2 linked regions of the Danio rerio genome follow. The protein of the gene in region 2 interacts with the protein of the main gene of each other region in a pairwise test. Links are inferred from orthologs where the notes say so. Each region holds a gene or a part of one and is shown on either strand. Other genes may lie near its edges. The genes, in order: zmynd11 and zhx1.

Region 1 (4,282 bases), on a different chromosome or scaffold from region 2:
TGATTTTCAATAAAAACCAGGGCTCAACAATAAGGACTGCATGATGGCCAGGGGCCAGTGTGCGAGACACTCGGGCCAGTGTACAGAATGGTTACTGGCCGGATTGGGCCAGTGCTGCCTTGTCACAAAAGTTTGGCTGTGACCGTCTGTCAGTTGCGTGCAAATACAATCTTAGAGTGCTTTCACACACAAGACGTTCATTTCGGAATCTGTCTCGTTTTCCTGTGGTTAGTGTGGTTTGTTTGGCATATGCGAGTCCAGCAATCGCACTTGGATCTGCGCCAATTTAATCGATCCGAGATCGCCTGACTGAAATGGTCTCTGCTTGATTGAGCTGATCAATTGTAGTGAGAAAGCAAAACGGTCCAATGAACTAACGACCCAGGCTATATGACAGTGTCTTACGATTGTGTAATAGCCATATATACGGCTATATGAAGAGAGAATGATAAGCAGGGCAAGATGTCATTCCTACGGGCAAATGTGCACGTTAAATGTCTAACTTTAACATTCAATGAACTTGATGAACTGAATAATTTTTTTTTAAAAACCTGTGTATAAAACTGACCCCAAACTCAATTATGTTTAGCTTTTGAAACATTATTTAAAATATTGTATGTGGCTGAGAAATAGCTATTAACATCTTTTGTTTGGTGAGTCCAGTGAAAATTTTGGCAGGGCAAGTAAAAATCTGAACCACTGGCCCAATCGGGCCAGTAAAAAAAATCCTTAGCGTTGAACCCTGAAAACCCTCTCCACAAAGTGCCTGTAGTGCCATGTGGCATGAAGAAGAGATGAAAATGACTGTCACATTTATTGCTGTTGTGCATACTGTAAGTTACAGCTTCTACAATCATCTGCCAGATGGCTTTTACTAAGAAGACCAACTGAAACAACTCCTGTATGCTGAAATCTACTAATGAAAGTGCAGGAATGTCAAGGAAGGTGAGAACAACTAATGTTAAATAATAATAATAATAATAATATTTATATATATATATATATATATATATATATATATATATATATATATATATATATATATATATATATATATATATATATATATAATCAGTTGTGAATCCCTGGGGTCAGGCTTGACAGTTTTTTTATTTTCATAAAAGATATGCCTGTAAAGAATGTAAAAAGTGTGACACTTAATGTAATAACATTAAATTGTTAATTAAATAGAAAAAAGGACAGTTTATCCAGAAATGTAAAGTCACAAAGTATTAGGTGACTTTTTCAAAAATAGAACATTAGAAGGGATATAACAAACTATAGTCCTTGGTAACAATAAAAATGCACACGAAAGGTTACAAGCGCATTTAGAGTTAGTAATTATAAAAAAAACATGAACGCACAAAAAATTAATAACTGTCTCCTGACATTACATTCTGAGGTCTTTTTAAGCAAAATAAATTGTCTGTAAAAGAAACAAATCATTATGTACAACGTAATAACCTTAAATTCACATACTCCAGCAAACAGCAGTGCTCTAAAGCATGAGCTTCATATCGCATAATCACATTATCAGTAGTCAATGTGGGAAAATCTAGATTTCTGATTGAGATAATCTGTAACCCAAGTGCAACATCCAGGATGTGTGAAGACTGTCCAAACTTTCCATTGAGGCAGTGGATTAAAAGTTATGATGTAAATATAATGTTCAGTTACTTGTGCAGACCTGTTTTGCTTCATAAGACCCTTACGCATCATCAGAAGCCATTGACATTGCCTAAATATGTTTTTGTAATCTTAAAGTTAAGGCATGCACCAAGGTTCACCGTTTCTGCTTTAATGCTCCACTGAAGAAAAAGGCAACCTTCTTGGACAGCCTATGGGTGAGTTTTTGGTAGAACTCACTCTGTTTTGGTTACACTGGCATCATATGATCCTATTAAGATGAGTATTGCTGGTTCGCAACAATTCACTGTAATAACACTACTGAACATGTAGTTAAACATGATTATAATTACTAGCAACTTTGTCAGTTTTATGACTGGTCACGTGATATCAACATGGCAGCATCCATGAAGTGGCGACCCACTCAATGTGGAATTAAACCGCTTTTGCAGCAGACTAATGTATACAGTACAATTCATCTCATGTGGATTTACACGAGATTTATGTCATTAATTTTTTTTTAATGTGTAAAGATCTTTAAAGTCACCGATTGCGGCTTGATGTCGCCGAGAAGACCTGTTTGTTTTATTGCGCAATAAATACATGCGCAGAAAGGAGGATAACCGATCGATTCCTTATCGAACATTACAACAACATTGGAAGTTTTTGACAGACATAACTTTAGTTTACACTGTTAACGTTTAGAAATGTTGCCAGTGATTTTTAAAACCCCGACGGATGCCTCTACAACAGTTCATGTGGTTCACAGCTCGAGTGCTGGAATGTATGGCGCAAAATCATTAGGAACCCGATTATGTTAATTAAACGATCGAAATAGTGTAAATCCAAAAACCATGATGACTTTGGCAGCTGTATGGCTTATTAATAATCAATTAAACGCAGTGCAGTGCCTAAAAGAAACAACAAACGGCGAAGAGTCGCTAAACTATAAACATCAAGACATCGGAAACGCGCAAGCTGTTTTTGACGCGCGCTTCATATAGAGCAAACTGCTAGAAATCACGATTAATAGCACAGCAGATTGCAAATGGAGGGAAAACCCTTCATCGGTGCCTACACATTCTTGTTGGTTGGTTGGTGAGCTACATGGACGCCATGTTGATATCCCTCCCTCGCTTCTAGACAAAACCAACCAGTTGGGAGTGGATTTTTTGTTCCTCTTTGCAGCGAATGTCATGAAAACGACCCGGTTTATGCGCGTACTTACCGCTGTCCGACAGCTGATCAAGCGCCTCGCCGTTCCGTCTCACTTTAGGATGTAACGCAGCGCTGCTTACATTTGTGTTTCCGGAGTTAAATGTCAGAATAGTGGTTGGTTGAAGGAGCCCGGCCACAGTTGAAGCTCGGAGGGGGTAAACACACACACATACACATACACACATTCATACACAGTCACAGGCTGTGGGAGAACTCTAGTGGCAGGGCGCAGGAGTTGCGCGTTTTACTCTGCACGTCTCACCTTGAAGCTCTTTTTTCATATTCATAAGTTTGTATATCTGTCATATTTCTTGAATATTATTTGCATTTTAAAGTCGATAATAATTTAGTCTATGTGGTAATTGTATGTGTGTGTGTGTATATATATATATATACTGTATATATATATATATATATATATATATATATATATATATATATATATATATATATATATGTGTGTGTGTATATATATATATATATATATATATATATATATATATATATATATATATATATATATATATATATATATATATATATATATATATATAAATCTCTGTAATGCATGCATAATATAAATCTAAAATCGGCATGTGGGCAAGAATTACATGCTCACACCTCTTTAAATTTTCATTCATTTGTTTTTTTTTTTTTAGAATCAAGGTTATTTTTTAACTTTGACTAAAACTATGGTTGAAATCTATTTTAGTCAAATGATTTTTATTTTCTTTTAATTTAGTTTGAAGTATTAAAACAAAACGAAATAAACTTACAGAACCTAAATTAAATGAACTAAATTACTGAACATTTAAAGGTAAAGGAAAAATGAAAACATAAAAAATCAGTTTCTATAACCAAATAGTACAAAAACTAAACTAGTATAGTAAAGTAAAACTACTGTACAACAAGGATACATTTACAAACAAATGTTGGTTCATGATTGATAAACATCAGCATTAAAAAAAACATTTTAAAAATTTGCATTAAAAAATAAAAATGTACTACAAATCATTATTAGCTTTTACTGCAAAAACTTGTTTTAATGCATGCATAAATGTGTTTAAATACATACCTGTGTGTTTGTTTCAAAATGTGTTATGATTAATAATAATAAGCAATTATAATAAGCAACAATTCTCCATAATTTCATTGTTTAAACAGGTCAGTCATAATAGATGATAGATAGATAGATAGATAGATAGATAGATAGATAGATAGATAGATAGATAGATAGATAGATAGATAGATAGATAGATAGATAGATAGATAGATAGATAGATAGATAGATAGATAGATAGACAGATAGACAGATAGATAGATGTTTTCTTTTTAATCAGTAGTGGTAGCATTACCAATTGATTATTGCTAATTCTCATTGCTCTTAAGATGAAACTCCAGCAGATGGTGCTAAATGAACACATATAGACTAACCGAA
Region 2 (4,527 bases):
AGAAATGGCTTCCCTCATATTCTGAAAAGACAGTAAGAGGAAAATTTAGTCAGTATTTGAAAAAAAAAAGAACTGTGTTAAATAAACATGTATAGCAGATAAGGAGAGAAGCAGTTGTTTAAATTAGCTTTTTGTCCTGACCAAGAGTCATCAAGATGAATCTTTTGCTGCAAATGCTAAATATTTTTAGAAAAACACTATTTAAACATAATAGTTTTTCCACCGCTACTTTTTTTTCATATTTACCAGCAAACGCATATTAAAAAACAATTTGAAGGGTTTTTGTTATTTTCACTTGTTTGTACCCTGGAATTATTATTAATTGTTAATTAAGTATTAATCATAATGTATTTTATACTTCTAATTCCACTACTTTTTGGACGGGAGTATATTTTATTAAAGTCTCCATGCTTTTAATACAGAGCTTGATTTGTGTGCTGGATTTGTCCATTTCTGCAAAGCTCTCGATCAACATCACATTAAACATCAAAACAGGATCTGAATTTCCAGCATTCATTATGAACAGAGCAATTACTTGCCACTAACAACCTGTCGCTCTGGGTGAGGACAGAGAGCTATTCTGACCAGGACAAAAAATAAATAAATAAATGGCCTTGAGAAGTGAACTTCACCTGTCTCTGTTTCCATGGGAACCACTGCTCCCTCTGTAGGACCGTCTGGCATACTCTCGGCTCCTTCATTCCCTTCCAGGGCCTCCATATCTGGATCTTGCTCTACGACATCTGATGGAAGCACCATGCAGGGTGTCGTGGACTTTCTTCTGCTTGACATTGTGCTTGTGAGTGTGAACAATAAAATATAAGCTGGCCAGAACCTCCGTGAGGTTGAATTTACATGCTAAACATTTGTCCCATTACACGATCTGAGCTCGGCATCCTGAAAGAAAAGCACAAACAACACAGCTGATATATAAATATCAACGTTTACAGACCTATTTAATCACAGACTAGATCAAAATACTGGACAAGGGTTGTAAAACTATTAATAATAAAAGTACTACTGTTTTTATTAAAAATGGTAAAACTGTTCACAGTGGTGTTAAGTAATTAATTACAATCCTCAAATTACTGTAATTGAGTAGTTTTGCTCAACATTTTTAATTTACTAAGTAGTTTTTAAAATGTCTACTTTTAATTTCCCTTGAATTTTTTTTTTTTTTTTTTTTTTTTGCTGTATTGGTACTTTTACTCCACTACTTTCCTTCTACCTGCAGTTACTACTTCATTTCTTTCTTGTCTATGGGGATTTGAAAAATCTCAGTCCTATGGGTCCCGTCCAATCAAATCACACATAGAAGGTAAATCGCATCATAATGAACTACCTCAAGACATGGGCGATTTATAATTGCAGCAAACTGTTTGGAAGCATTAAAAGTGTCCAAAATATTTACACACTTTGACCCAGAGACGCATGTTTAGATGCATGTCACTGATGAGAAGATGACAGATGTTTACTGTATGATGACCGAAATGGCGTCATAACTTTAGATTGACGTTGCATACCAATGTCATAGGGATGCTGCATTTTGTTTGAAAATGAAAATTGGGTTGACATCAGAACTCAACATCAGGCCGGCCTCAATGTCCAACATCTAACCTAAAATCAACAAAATATCAACATCTAATGATGTTACAGCTTGATGTTGTATGGATATTACCACAATAATGTCTATCAGAGGTAGGATTTTGGTTGCCATACCAGATGAAAAAAGTGACATCAGCATTTGACATCAATATGATGTTGGTTAAAGATGTTGGCTCGACATTGATTTTGGTCAATTTCCAACACAACCTAAACTTAACCAAATATCAACGTCATTTGATGTCATTATTGGACATTAAAATAACGTTGCCCTTAGACGATGGCTAGACATTGAATTTTGATCACCTGACATCACAACCTAAATCTAACCTAATATTAACATATGATGTTGTGTGCCTGCTGGGCGATAACTAAATGCACTACAGAATGTTATGTTTACACACATGTAAATGCATCAGCTTTTTACAGCAAAATACTCACTACTCACTATTCTTGAGGACTGTTAAAATGGTTACTTTTTACTCATACTTTGAGTAATATTTACCACAGATTTTAATCTACACGCACTACATTTTCAGGCAAGTAATGGTACTTTTATTTGAGTATGAATTTTCAGTACTCTTTCCACCATTGACGGTTCATTTCTTACAAGGAATCTTGTTTAATGTTAATTCCTATAACACATTTAAGTTAAAAGCTACATGTTAACATTAACTAAATCATTAAAAACATAATGCTAAAGAGTGATTTATTAATGCATTAAGTATTGTTAATATAATGTATTCTGCCTGTAATGTGTCTTTCCTGAACAGTATTTCAGTTGCAGCCAGAAAAATAATAATAAAGTTTAGACAAGTTTGTTCCTTCACAAAATACGACGACTATACAATACAGGTACAGTTGATAATATCATGACAAGAAATTATTACTATATTCAGTACGTTTTTGTATGGCACATGTCAAAATCTAACGGTATTGCTATGGTATGCTGACCAAATCACCTGTGTACCATATTAATGCCATGCTACATGAATTACAGTACTATGATATACATAAAAGTATAACAGAAACATTTAGAGATATCATCCCTATAACAACACATAACATGGTACCCCATGCTTCTAAAATTTTACTATAGTATAATCATATCACCAAGTACAAAAGCAAGGTAATGCATGGTACTTTCTGGTACTTTTTATGAGTGCGTAAGCTTAAAGGGTGTGAAGAAACTCACCGGCCGTGGGTTCAGAGTCAGGTCGCGCCTCTCAGTGCGAAAACCCCCCGATTCAGCAGCAGGAAGAGCGGAGGCGAGACGGACCGAGACCCGCCGCACGTACAGGGGGGAAAACCCTGGATGGACCGGACAGATGCCACGCCGATCGGATGCTCCTCTCCTTGATGTCTCAGCTTGTCTATTAATTGACCGGGCACAGTACACCAGTGTTTTATAGGTCTCTCAATAAACACAATAGTCATCTGCGTTCGTTTTAATGGCAGTTTTTAATGATCATCAGGCGTCACCGCTGTCAGTGTTATACGTAGTGACATCATCGCCAGGCGACTACCCGTTGTCAAATAAAACTGGCGATAAAACAATACTTTTGGACTATATGTGGGTCAAAATACTCACATAAGACTTTGTATGACTGCGATGAATATACTTATTAACTTTAAACGCGACTTTGCGCGAGTAAATCAGCGCACTGATTATAAAAACGTAGAACCTGCGAAGTACTAAGCTGCCCAATCAGAGCTAGCTTGTGGTCACATGACCACCATGCCTCTCTTCAGTAGAATCAAGTGGAATTTTCCTAATGTTTCCTACTAGGCTGATCTACATTTTACCTGAAGCAGAACCGCAATTGATTACAACACCTAACTTTGTGCAGTACTTCGGGCTGAGCAGATTAGATGTTTGTTCCAATACTGAAACTATTTGTACAGCATGAAATCCATGAGACACTGAGAATTGTGATAAAGGCTTTAATACGCACTCAGTATGCACAACACTCAAAAGACATGACTAAAGAATTGGCAAAATATAATTTATAGACCAGTTTCATAAGAAATATACTGTATAGTTTATTAAAAAGGTAAACTAGGAAAACTCTTGGACTTCCTTTGTCATCTCCTGCAAAAGAAAAAATACACAATTAAATTGCAGAAAATACAAGTAATCAAATAAAGCAAATCACTTTAAGACAACTGCATGGTAATCAGTTAAATCATAGGTCTCAAACTCAATTCCTGGAGGACGCAGCTCTGCAGTTTTGCTCCAACCTGATCAAACACAGCTAATCTATTAGTGTCTAGTACAGAGGTTTCCAAACTCGGTCCTGGAGGGCCTGTGTCCTGCATACTTTATTTTCAACCCCAATTAAACACCCCTGAACTGGCTAATTGTGCTTTCTAGGTATACTAAAAACATCCAGGTATGTGTGTTGAATGAAGTTGGAGCTAAACTATGCAGACATTGGCCCTCCAGGTCAGAGTTAGGACACCCCTGGTCTAGTAGTCTTGAACACCTTAAATAGTTTGATCAGCTGTTTGATAAGAACAAAACTGTGCAGAGCTGCGGCCCTCTAGAAATCGAATATGAGACCTATGAGTTAAATGTAAATTAAACCATGTACTTAAAGCAGTATGTGTTTTTAGTAGTGTAACAGATCACACATCTCAGTTTGGATCACATGTTTTTTTTTTAAATCATGGATCAGGATCAGTCAAAAAGGGAGGAGACAAATGTAATTTGCTTTCTGTTAATTACAAAAACAGCATTGCAAGAAACATTTGGTTTTAACAAACAAAACTTACAACCTGTAAATTAATTCAAAATAAAATGAAGAAGTAATCAGCGGAATAAAAAATAGTAAAATATTCAGTGAAGAATTCTAAACTGCTACTGTTTCTGATGACGCTGCATGTATAAATCTAACATAATTTGTACAACTCATATTTCATTTT

The links.
Region 1: the proteins of zhx1 (region 2) and zmynd11 interact in a two-hybrid assay, tested with the Homo sapiens proteins (2 studies listed by BioGRID and IntAct). The link is inferred for Danio rerio from reciprocal best matches to the Homo sapiens genes ZHX1 and ZMYND11.

Annotation. Positions count from the first base shown.
Region 1 is NC_133199.1:31,320,079-31,324,360, forward strand, and holds the start of zmynd11 (zinc finger MYND domain-containing protein 11), read right to left. Parts: upstream 3,005-4,282; 5' UTR 2,855-3,004; intron 1-2,854. UniProt on the Homo sapiens protein: Chromatin reader that specifically recognizes and binds histone H3.3 trimethylated at 'Lys-36' (H3.3K36me3) and regulates RNA polymerase II elongation. Does not bind other histone H3 subtypes (H3.1 or H3.2).
Region 2 is NC_133191.1:47,767,565-47,772,091, forward strand, and holds the start of zhx1 (zinc fingers and homeoboxes protein 1), read right to left. Parts: upstream 3,076-4,527; 5' UTR 2,798-3,075; intron 898-2,797; 5' UTR 793-897; coding exon 633-792; intron 22-632; coding exon 1-21. Other genes in the region: atad2 (ATPase family AAA domain-containing protein 2), read right to left, coding at 3,662-3,694. UniProt on the Homo sapiens protein: Acts as a transcriptional repressor. Increases DNMT3B-mediated repressive transcriptional activity when DNMT3B is tethered to DNA. May link molecule between DNMT3B and other co-repressor proteins.